3 linked regions of the Macaca fascicularis genome follow. The protein of the gene in region 3 interacts with the protein of the main gene of each other region in a biochemical or structural test. Links are inferred from orthologs where the notes say so. Each region holds a gene or a part of one and is shown on either strand. Other genes may lie near its edges. The genes, in order: RGS19, LRP2 and GIPC1.

What was found.
Region 1: the proteins of GIPC1 (region 3) and RGS19 form a complex in vitro, tested with the Homo sapiens proteins (2 studies listed by BioGRID). The link is inferred for Macaca fascicularis from reciprocal best matches to the Homo sapiens genes GIPC1 and RGS19.
Region 2: the proteins of GIPC1 (region 3) and LRP2 form a complex in vitro, tested with the Homo sapiens proteins (2 studies listed by BioGRID). The link is inferred for Macaca fascicularis from reciprocal best matches to the Homo sapiens genes GIPC1 and LRP2.

The regions. Positions count from the first base shown.
Region 1 is NC_088384.1:120,217,748-120,221,885, reverse strand, and holds the start of RGS19 (regulator of G-protein signaling 19), read left to right. Parts: upstream 1-1,322; 5' UTR 1,323-1,388; exon of another isoform or gene 1,389-1,968; intron 1,969-3,985; exon of another isoform or gene 3,986-4,123; intron 4,124-4,138. Other genes in the region: protein LKAAEAR1, read left to right, coding at 379-396. UniProt on the Homo sapiens protein: Inhibits signal transduction by increasing the GTPase activity of G protein alpha subunits thereby driving them into their inactive GDP-bound form. Binds to G-alpha subfamily 1 members, with the order G(i)a3 > G(i)a1 > G(o)a >> G(z)a/G(i)a2.
Region 2 is NC_088386.1:64,772,772-64,776,418, forward strand, and holds part of LRP2 (low-density lipoprotein receptor-related protein 2), read right to left. Parts: intron 3,053-3,647; coding exon 2,132-3,052; intron 1,991-2,131; coding exon 1,825-1,990; intron 1,424-1,824; coding exon 1,265-1,423; intron 72-1,264; coding exon 1-71. UniProt on the Homo sapiens protein: Multiligand endocytic receptor. Acts together with CUBN to mediate endocytosis of high-density lipoproteins. Mediates receptor-mediated uptake of polybasic drugs such as aprotinin, aminoglycosides and polymyxin B.
Region 3 is NC_088393.1:14,912,182-14,915,290, forward strand, and holds the end of GIPC1 (PDZ domain-containing protein GIPC1), read right to left. Parts: coding exon 3,047-3,109; intron 2,343-3,046; coding exon 2,230-2,342; intron 1,598-2,229; coding exon 1,516-1,597; intron 1,392-1,515; coding exon 1,240-1,391; 3' UTR 585-1,239; downstream 1-584. UniProt on the Homo sapiens protein: May be involved in G protein-linked signaling.

The sequences.
Region 1 (4,138 bases), on a different chromosome or scaffold from region 3:
TCCTGGCCCCTGCCTTTGCTTGCCTGGCCTGATAACATGGCAGTCACAGGGTTCTGCAGTCAAGTCGGCCAGACCTCTGGGTACAGCTGCGAGAGGCAGTCTGTCCTCCAGGGCCCTCTGACCTCTGACCTCTGACCTCCCCCTTCAGGCCCTCACCCCCCTCGGCAGTGCAACACCCTCCCCTCTCAGCCCTCCCGCCTCTCACTCAGGCCTTCCCTGCCTGCTCCCCACAACTCACTCTATGCCCCTAGCATCAGATCCAGGCCCATCTATGTTGCTGGCTTCTGGTCCCACTGCCTGGCCCACAGGGGCACCCAGATACTGATACTTGTCCATTGAATGAGGAACACAAGTAAAATCTCCCTTTCCACCCCTCAGAGTTCTGTGAAGGTGTAAGGTGTGCACCTGACCTGTGCAATTGGAAGGCATTTGATGAACAGGACCCCGACATTGGGAGCTATCCGGGTCGAGTGCTTGTGCTGGGTAGGACGGGAGCTGCACACAGCTGGGCCCGGGGAGGGCGGGGGGCACAGATGCTCTGCAGACACTTCCGGAGCAGGGTCAGGGCCACCGACACTGGGCCAAAGCATGCTGCGATGAGAAGCCTGGCCCACATCTGTACCGAGTCATAAAGGATGAGAAGAGTCAGCCAAAGGGGACAGTGTGGCTTTAAGCCGTAAGACATCTTGGGACACACGGGTCAGCAGGGACTCTGCCAGGCCCCGCAGGAGACATTCGACATGACTCCGGGTGCACGAACCCGCACCCCCAGTTCTCCCCAGCCCCGCAGCACAGGAATCTCCCCCTTCCTTGGGAACCCCCCACAGCACGACAGGCTCTTAACCCAGTTTTACAGACGAAGCTCACGGAGGCGAGGGGTGGGCCGGGCTGGCGTGCCCGCCGATCGGTCCTTTCCAGCAGCCGCCTCTTTCCCAAGCAGGGCAAGCAGCATATGGGGCCCCGCTCTCCTGCCTCCACACTGGAGTGTCGTGCAAGTCCCACACGAACAGCAAGGCAGGAACGGCCCCGCCGAGCAGAGTCGGGGGCCACGGCCACACCCCCATCTACTACCGTGCAGCTCCGTCGGCCCGGGGGCCAGGGCTCCACTACGAGCACCTCAACCCTCCGGGCCACCCCCAAGCGACTGTGGGGGCCGAGCGCGGGCGGGGCGGGTGGGGTGTGGAGCCGGCCGAGCGCGGGGCGGGGCGGGGCGCGGCGGGCGGGGCGGGCCCGGCGCCTCCCGGCGCGAGGAAGTCCCGGCCCCTGGCTTTGGGGAAGTGCTGCCGAGGCGCCTGCGCACTGCGCCCCCGCGCCCCCTCCCCGACTGTCGGGCCGGACCTTGGAGCGCGCGGGCCGGCGGCGGCGCGAGTGGCTCGGGAGCGCGGCTGGTGAGTGCGCGCGCGCCGCGCCGGGGACAGCGGCCCTGCCCCTCCCGGCCCGGGCCCGGGGACCGTGCGGGGCGGGAGCTTCGGGAGCCGGCGCACGGGACTCGAACCCCAAGGACTCCCGCCGCCAGGTCCACGTGGACCCTGGGCCGCAGTGGAACTGGAGCCCGCCCCCCGCGCTTGGGGGAGGGGGCGCTGCAGCCGGGTTCCCCTTTTTGTGGAGCTCAAAGCCTGGGGAAGTGATTGCTTAAAGGTGGGGGCCGGAAGAACCCAGGTTTCCGCGTCTCCCTCCCCCCCGCCAGCCCGGTGAGGAGGGGCCGGGGCGGGACACCCTGTCCGCCCCCGCCCCCACCCCGCTGGATCTGGCAGCCACTCAGCCCTTCGAGCTGTAGGGGAGGCGCTGCGCCCCCGGCCCCAGCCGATCGGGGGCTCCTGGCGCTAGCCTCCCTCCAGAGCGCCGCAGGAGTCCCTCCTGCCGTCTGACTTGAGTCCCTGCTGCTGCAGTGCACGCCCCTTCGGCAGCCAGGGTGGGGCCCAGACCCAACCTGGCCCCTCCTGCCCCCACCCTGCCTTTGGGTCGCTGGTGAGTAGGGAGCATTGAGGTAGGGGTGGGGGCGTCAGAGGCTGGAGAAAGAGGCACCTGGAGGAGGACACAGGCTCCTCCAGGCGGGACCCTAACAGCAGCCAGAGGAGCGTGGTGGGTGGGTCACCACCACCATTTCAGAGGTGGGGAGAGCTGGCCTTCCTTGGAGGGGCCAGGCCAGGGCTCATCCACCAGCCAGATGTGGAGGGTGGCAGATGGGAAAGGCCCTGGGTGGGCGCTAAGAACTGAGAATGGAGCCCCTCTTCAACCCCTCCCAAAGGTTATGACATTTTTTTCTGGGATTGTCACATTTTCTTATTCTTTTTTTGGACTGGGCAGGCTCTGGGACGTTCTTTTTCCTTCTGTGGAGCAAAGCAGCAGCCACTCCCAAGGGAGCCTCTATCCCCAGAGACCAGACGTGCCGCCTGTCCAGACTCTCCCATCCCAGACTTGGGGGCCAAAGCCTGGGAGGCTGGGGAAGGGGGGTCCCCAATCCCAGGATGACAAGCAGGAGGACCCTAGTTGAGACTCTGTATCCTCCAGGAGAGAAGGGGGTGTAGCCTGGGGACATGGGTTGCCCCAGCTGACCTGAGAAGGGTACAGGAAGCCCAGTCCAGGGACAGGTGACCCGGTCCAGGGCCTGAAGCTGGGAAAGAAGGGGCTGGCTCCCTCCTCTGCAGCAAATGCAGCCCCTAGCACCCCGGCCTGGCACCCCTAAACATGTCCCCTCCTCCAGTTCAGAGCTGGGGTGGACATGGTAGCCCAGGAGGGACAGTCTCCGGGGTGCTAGAGTGTGGGGGAGGACCCTGGGTGGGGGCAGAGAGGAGGAAGAACTGCTGCCTGGGGAAGTCACAGACAGCCCCGTCTGGGCACAGCTACCAAACCTCAGGTTGCCACGCCCCTTCCTTTCCCTAGAAACTTGACCCCTGAAAGCAAGCCCAGCTGCGGGGCCACCTTCTGTCTCCTCATCTACTTGCTAGGAACCTGTGGGACCCACAGTCTCAGAGGAAGCTGGGCAGGCGGTGAGGGGCCGAGGTCCCGGGGGATGCTGCACCTGCCCCAGACTTGGGCCAGGGCAGTGGCCTCTGCATGCCCAGGCCTCAGGGGTATTGGGGGCCCTGAGAGTGCAGAACTCCAGCACTGTCTCCTCTGAGCGCCATTCACACACCGTCCCAGAAGGCCAAGAGAGACCAACCAGACAGAAACAAGCATTCAAAGGCCACAAGCTAAGGGAGGCGTGGCGGGGGGGATGAAGATTGAGAAAATAAAGTAGAACCAAGTTGTGAGCTTCCTGGCCAGGGAGGAGGGTGGTGGACATGCATGGAGGCCCAGAGGGCAGAGGTGGGCGCAGGTGTTCACAACTGCCTCCGGGGCACTGATTGGCCCCCCTGTGCCATTGCCCAAGGAGACCTGGGGTTCAAAGTGGTATCTTAGGTGGCACGAGGGCCACCCACAGCTTTGGCGCTCCTGGTGCACCTCCCCTGCCGATGGTGCAACCAAACGCTGGGAGGTACACGCACCACACCACACCCCTCAGGGACTCTGAGGCTTTGACTGGGGAGGAGGGTGCCTCCACCCACTGCCACCCCCACTTCCCTGGCTGGCGCACTGTGTGGTACGGCCTTGGTTCCACAGCGGTTTCACAGCCTAGAGGCAGTGGGCAAGGAGGGAGGGAAGTCTTGGGAGGGAGGTAGCAGGACCAAAGAACCATGTTTGGGGGGCACGTCCCTCCTCACCAGGGCCCTGCCCCCCTCCCCACACCCTCAGAGAGTCCAGCCCTGAGTCCCACTTAAAACCTCACTGCGGCAGGTCTAACCTGCTGCCCCTGGCTGAGACCTCTGGGACCCGCAGACAGACCTGGACTCTTGGTGGGAGCTGCTCTGCCCACTCCCCACCCCAGACGCCCTAGAAGCAAGTCTGGCCACCACCCGCACGCACAGTTGGTAGCCCCAGACTCTTGGGGCCCCTTTGGGAGGGGCTGGGAGCCGGAAACCGAGAAAGAGGAACCCAGGCTTCCGGCTTCCCAGGGAGTGAGCGGATGGGGGTGTCTCGGAACCTTCTGTGGGGGCCTCATCTGGGGCCCAGCCTGGGAGGAGGGGCCAGAAGTTGCTGCAGCCCCCTCCTCAATGACCCTAGACCCCCTCCCAGCCCTGCTGTAAGCTTGGGGTTG
Region 2 (3,647 bases), on a different chromosome or scaffold from region 3:
AAGCATGAACGGCTGCATTGACAATGACTTCACGATCCATGCCCGTCAGAGTGCTGCGTTCAATCTTCTGCCTAAAATGAAGCAAAAAAAAAAAAAAAAAAAATTAAGAAGTTGAAATCTCAAATGAGTTAAGTTTTCAACTGGCAACCCAATACATGTGCCTCATGATTGTTTACACAAGCCCCCAACTTTCTTTTCAAGTGGGGCATATGGCAGCTAGAAATGTTTCTTCTGGAGATGGGAGGTCTTGTTTGCTTATCAAACAATAGACTTTATAAAATCATTGACTTCCAAATATGAATAGTAATCCTGAAAAAGGAACCGGGTTGACATTAGAAACAGGAAAACATGAAATAATCCATGTAATGCATGGAACTCAGTGTTGAGCACATAGCAGATTCTCAATAAAACAATAACTTTTCCATCCCACTTCCTTAGTGACTTTTTCGATTTGACATTTATTGAGTACCTTGAAGCATTTACCTAGAATAATCCAAGCTTAGACCCAAAGTATCACTGCTTTGTTTCAAATAGGAGAATAAACAAAAGATCAGGAGGTTAGGAGCTTGGCATCACAAGACTAAAATTCCAAAGAAATATGCAAGGAAAATGTAAGATTCCTAGTATGTAGACACCAGCTATAATAAACAAAATCATTTCATCCCTTCAACTATTCCATTAGGATGACTGGAATGTGAGACACATGGGGGGTACTTGGAGAAGTTACATACAAAATTAGAGTTGACAAAAGGAAAATATTAAGAAATGTGCTGAGGAGAAGCTTGCCAGAGAAGAAAGGGTCTATTTGAAAAGATGACCAAAAGTCAAAGAATAAAGAAAATACTTTTCTAAAAGACATTGAATGCTAAAGCCCAGAAAAAATCTTAATATCAATGGGCATTTAAAAGTCATTCAGATTTTATGGCAGTTACCTAGGGCCTGCAGAATGTAAGTTGAGTAATTTCATTTGTAATTCTAAATTGAGAAAATACATTTATAATTATAGCTGAAATTACAGATATATTTAGCAATGCACCTTCAGATGTCTTTTAGTTCATAATTATTCAATGCATGATATAGATAAATTTTCACAGGTATGTTCACCAAGTTACAATATAAACATAGTTCCTAAAACTGTGATTCTATATTTTGGCAATGTCTATCTGGCATATTATCTTTTCATCACATGATGCAAATCCCTCTTCTTTGGAAATGGGAGGAAAAACTCTTCTTAACACCCACATGAGTAACCAGAGACACCTACAGACTAGCGTCCACCCAGTACAGAAGGTCCTCCTCATAGTCCAGAGTCAGCCCACTGGGCATGACCAGGCTGCTGTTCACAATGGGTACCCGGAAGTTTCCTCCCAATGTGGCTCTCTCGATTTTGGCATGCATATCCCAATCAGCCCAGTACAGGTACCTAGTCGTACAAAAGGAGTCAATAATTAATTCACAGGGAACCTCATAGTCCTTAAGAAAAAAAAGAAAAAGAAAAGAAAGAAAAAAAGGACAACATTCTTTAATTGCAAATTGCCAGTAACATGGCAAAAGAAACTCCATTTCTACTTACACAACTCATCCAAAAGGGATCTATTGAGTCAGGGTGTTGACTTCCTAGTATGTTGCCAACCTTTCTGCCATCAAAGGGAGCTACACGCTGCACCCTCCTTCCCAGGTAAAATCATTCAATATGCTTTCACCCTTGGATCTGTAGCCATGGTGTTATAAGCCCATAACACACTGGCTATCTATGAACACAATTTCAGGCCCCACTCTTTCCAGAAATAAGCAGACAGAAATATAACAAAGATGATGGCATACCCTTGGCAGGGATCTAACACAATTGCTCTTGGTTTTGGAACGCGGGCTATCACAGTGCGGTTAGACCCATCTTCAGCCATGGAATTAATCGTCTGGTTGAGGTAGTCACTGTAATAAATTCTTCTAGTAATCCAATCAAAGGCAATGCCATCAGCAGTCCCTATACCTGGACACATACCGGCAGACACACACACAAGCACACACAAAGACATTAGAGTCTCATATGCATTGGAAACACTCAGTCATCCATGTGTGTTGACCCCATTGTGTCTACTTGCAGGATAAGCAGCACCTGGAGTGCACTTACCTGAAGCAATGACAGTTGGAGTATGGATCCCTGAAGACAGGCTGACATAGGAAATCTGTCCAACTCCAGAGGCTAAATTTTGTGTGAAGTAGATTCTATCACTTACACTGTCATAGTCTAGAGACATGACAGTTCTTTCCACATTTATTGTTTGGAAAGGTGGGCTATGGTTTTCAGGGTCCAAGTGTAAGCTTCTCAAGGAATTAGACAAAGCAAAGATGAGGAAATTTTCTGTTGAAATGGCACAATTCTTGCCATCACTTTCTAGGGTCCCAAAGGCACAGTCACATTTCGGGGTGTACAATCCAGGCAGAGCAAAGCAGAGATGAGAGCACCCACCATTATTTTCCAAGCAAGGGTTGTTGTTGACCTCTGCTGGTGACTGGGGTTGGACTTGCTTGTCAAAGATGGTCACATCTCTTAGCCAGTTGATATTGTCTCTTATCACTGTGGGTGGGTCTGTGTTCTCTGGTTCCTTGCTGGCTTGGAAGATTTTTTTCAAATTCCTATCTACCCATATGATAGAATTTCCAAAAACAGTGATGCCATAAGGAGTTGGGTAACGACTGCCGTAACGAATCACCTCAGAGTTCTCTCCATTGATACGAATCCTTGCAATTATATCTAAAGAATCATCAACCCAATAAACGTAGCCATCGCTTCGGTCCACTGCCAAGCCCCGTGGGGTGACAATGCCCTCGGACACAAGCACAGTTCGATTGGTACAGTCAAGGAAAGAACGCTCAATCTTTGGTCTCTGCCCATAGTCAGCCCAGAAGAGGTATCTGTTCTTGGGATCTACAACGATATGCCTAGGCATGTCCACTGTGACTTTAAGAAGAACACGGCGGTAAGTAGTATTGATCCGCAGAACTTCTATCAGTGTTTCAGAAACAAAGGCATTGGTGAAATAAAGATTTCCTATGGGAAAATGAAAGTGCATGCTGATCAATGGAGAACCAAGAAGAAAAAAAGGGAGAACTTTCCAAATTCAGAACAAAATGTATAAGGTTGAAGTTTGGGTCACTATATGTTGTCTTTTCCAAGATGATAAATAAATGTCCCAGTCTAGGCTTTGAAAACTAAATTCTTACTCCTAGGAATTACAGAGATTGCGTCTTCAAACTTAGAGAGAATGTGCCTATCTTCAGCTTCTAAAGTACATTAGAATTCATAGCAACATCATAACCCACTTTCTACTGAAAGGTATATTTTCCAGAATGTCCCCCCTTTTCTACCTGAAGCTCTAAATGCTCAATACCAACTTGAAACACTCTAAATATACATTTTCATAGGACAACTTCTACCCCAATATGATAAAAGTAGCAAAGAGGGAGCACCAGCAGCATCTCAGGTTGTTATTGATGTTATCAAATGCTCTTTGTGCTTAAGGTTAACATGAAGTTTTTCCTTAGTCTTTCTAACTAATGTAGGTGTGTTCATCCCATGGGCCTTCTAAAAGTGACCATAACAAAAGTCCATTTCCCTTTAAGCCTCATGTAAATGCTAGAATAAA
Region 3 (3,109 bases):
GGGCCCTGTGGCCCAGCACCCCTTGCTTCAATCCCTTCCCTTGTCTCCAGGTCTGGCCAAGGTCCCACCCCGCCTTTCCCTGATCACCCTCAATCCTTGAAGATGAGTGGGTTGTCAAAACAAGTATGCCGGGTTTAGTAAGCAGGGTGCCCCATGGACGCCTGCATGTCCAGCATTGGGCCGCGTGGGGTGGGGGCTGCATCGTGTCTGCCCCCAACTTCCCGGTGTAGGGGTGGGGCTCTGGCAGGCCTGAGGTTCCATCTATTTCCAAGCCAAGTTTCAATGCCCTGGTACTCCCCCCAGTCCAGGGGTTGTCACCGGCTGCAGACGGCAGCCTTGTGAAGCTCCAGGGGGCGGGAGGCCTTGTGGGAGAGGGGGCAGGATTTGAACCCTCAGTAGTCCAGGAAGCTCTGGCTCTGCCTGGAAGCCTGGTGGCCTGCAGCCAGAAGGAACAGTGGGAGGGGGCAGGCGGCCTGGTGCCAGCTCCTAATTCAATTTGGAGCCTGCGGAAGATGGATTTCAGCTGCTGAATTCTTTCTCAGCCCCGACCCTCCCCCTCTCCCACCCCGAAGCCACGCAGGTCCAACAGCAGATAGATTCTTTATGTTCAAGACAGCAAATTCAGATACAAAAGCCCACCGCCATCGTCCCTCCCTCCCTCCTGCTCTGGGCCAGGGATAGGCCTGGAGGGGGGAGATGGGAGTTGGGGAGGAGGTTGGGGGGTTCACAGCAGACTCATGTCAAATGCGGAGGTAACAGGCTCCACGGGGCGGGGGCTCCTCTCAGGAGGGGCGAGGGCATTATTGCATTTGCTGGGGGGAGGGACAACCCTCTCCCCTATATTCCCTGCGTCAGGAAACTAGGAAGGTCATGACCCCCGAGCAGAACCCAAGGCCCCAGGGAGACGGAGGGACCAGTTTGGCAGCTGATGGTGGAAAGTGGTGGAGGCGGGGGTGGCCGCCCAATTTGGCCGATCCCTCCCTTCCCCGTGCCTGACCCGGCTGAGGTAGGTGGGGAACAGGGCACAGGGGGGCCGGGGACCCCGGACAGATTGGGAACCGGGGAGGGGATGGTACCGATTGGAGCGGGGCAGGGGGCCCGGCCCCACCTCCCCTCCCCATCATCCTTGGGCTGCTGAGCTAGGCTCAGGCTGGAGGCTTGAGTCCTGATGTCAGTGTCCCTGCTGGGGGCCCCCACCAGGTTGGGCCCGGGTCATCATCGCAGGGTCCGGGGGGAGTCCTAGTAGCGGCCGACCTTGGCGTCCCCGATGGCGCCCCAGACGTCAAAGACGAATTCGTCAGGGAAGGCAAAGTCACCCAGCCGTTCGTCCAGGGCCTCGGCCAGCTCATCCGGGTTCCTTTTGTCCTTTCCCAGCTCCACCATGGTGGCCGCTATTGGCGGAGGGGGCAGAATGGAGGCACAAATGACACCAGGGACCAAGGGACTCAGGGTGGATTCAGCCAGCACCAGACCTAGATGCCGCCCCCCACGCCCCCGCAGGCAGCCCTCACTTACCCAACTCCGTGTCCCTGATACCCATGTAACTCTCCAGCAGGTCATCCACCTTCTCAATGGCCTTCTCTTCAAAGGCGGAGGGCTGGGGGCCAGGAGGGGTGACAGCGACATCATAACAATGTGAATATACATTGTAATTGGACTGACCGCCCTTGTCACCACTTTACATATATTCCTATTTAGACCTCAGGACAACCCTGAGAAGAAGGTATCGGTGTTCATCTCATCCCCATTTTACTGATGGGCAAACTGAGGCCCACGTGCCCAAGGAAGGTCCCTGGGAGCTGGGAAGTGGCAGAAGTGGACTAGAATCCAGGCTGTCTGCCCAGAGTCCCCTCAGCTAACAGATGATGCTGCCTACTATGAAAAGGAAGTGAGGGCTGGGGGTGGTGGCTCACGCCTATAATCCCAGCACTTTGGGAGGCCAAGGAGGCTGGATCACCTGAGGCCAGGAGTTCGAGACCAGCCTGGCCAACATGGTGAAACCCCGTCTCTACTAAAAATACAAAAATCAGCCGGGCATGGTGGCGGGCGCCTGTAGTCCCAGCTACTTGGGAGGCTGAGGCAGGAGAATTGCTTGAACCTGTGAGGCTGAGGTTGCAGTGAGCCGAGATCGAGCTACTATACTCCAGCCTGGGTGACAACAGTGAGACTCTGTCTCAAAAAAAAGAAAGGGAAGGAATGCTGGAGATAGGGTCCAGCTGGAGCACTCACCAGATCCTCCACCGTGGCAGGGCCCCGGGATCGGAGCCGCAGGGTCCCTCGGCCAGTGCCCAGTTGTGGGCCAGAGCCAGGGCGGCCACCCGCTGAGCGTTGGCTGATCATGTCTGTGGGAGGTAGGAGAGGGGTGCGTGTGGGGGAAGCTCGGTTTTAGCACGCTCTGGGCAGGAACTTGGCCCTCCTGGCTTTCGACACCACCCCAAACTTCTCCAAGCTTCTGCAAGTTCCTGGGGGCTGGGGCCAGGGCAGGAATCCTGACTCAGGCCTGGCATGGATGTGGGGCAGAGCAGGGGGGACAGCTGGGGGCCAGGAATAGGAAATGCTAGAGGGGAGACTGGAGGGGCCACTTCTGCTCCCAGGGGCTGGGACAGGAAGCGGGTGTACCCCAGCCTGAGTCTCCAGCTGCCTGAGTCCGTCTCCTCTTGGCCAAGGGGGTATGGCTCCCGGGCCACAGACCAGCCCTACCTGCCCGGGGAAGTGATTCAGTCCCCCACCCCCATCTCAGGGGCCTGGGGCCCATTCCTTAGAGTTAGTGAAGCCAGATGGAAAAGTGGGGGGGCTGGTACTGAGCGGCCAAGTCTGACCTGTTAGGGGTGGGGGCTGGCCAGGGGTGAGGACACCTTCCTCCTTGCCCCCGCCCTTCTCTCCGGCTGGGCCAAGGACCAGCACCTCGTCTCGGGACCGGGAGGAGCTGCACCCACTTCCCTTTCGGCTGCCCAGGCTCGGGCGCCACCTGCTGGCCGCTCCCGGCACCACCGCCTGCGCCCGTGTGAGCAGCGCCATTGGGGAGGTGCAGGGGGCGGCTCCTCACCGAAGGCCTTGCGAGGCTCCGTGAGCTTCAGCGTGAAGGTACGGCCTCGGGGCAGCTCCTTGA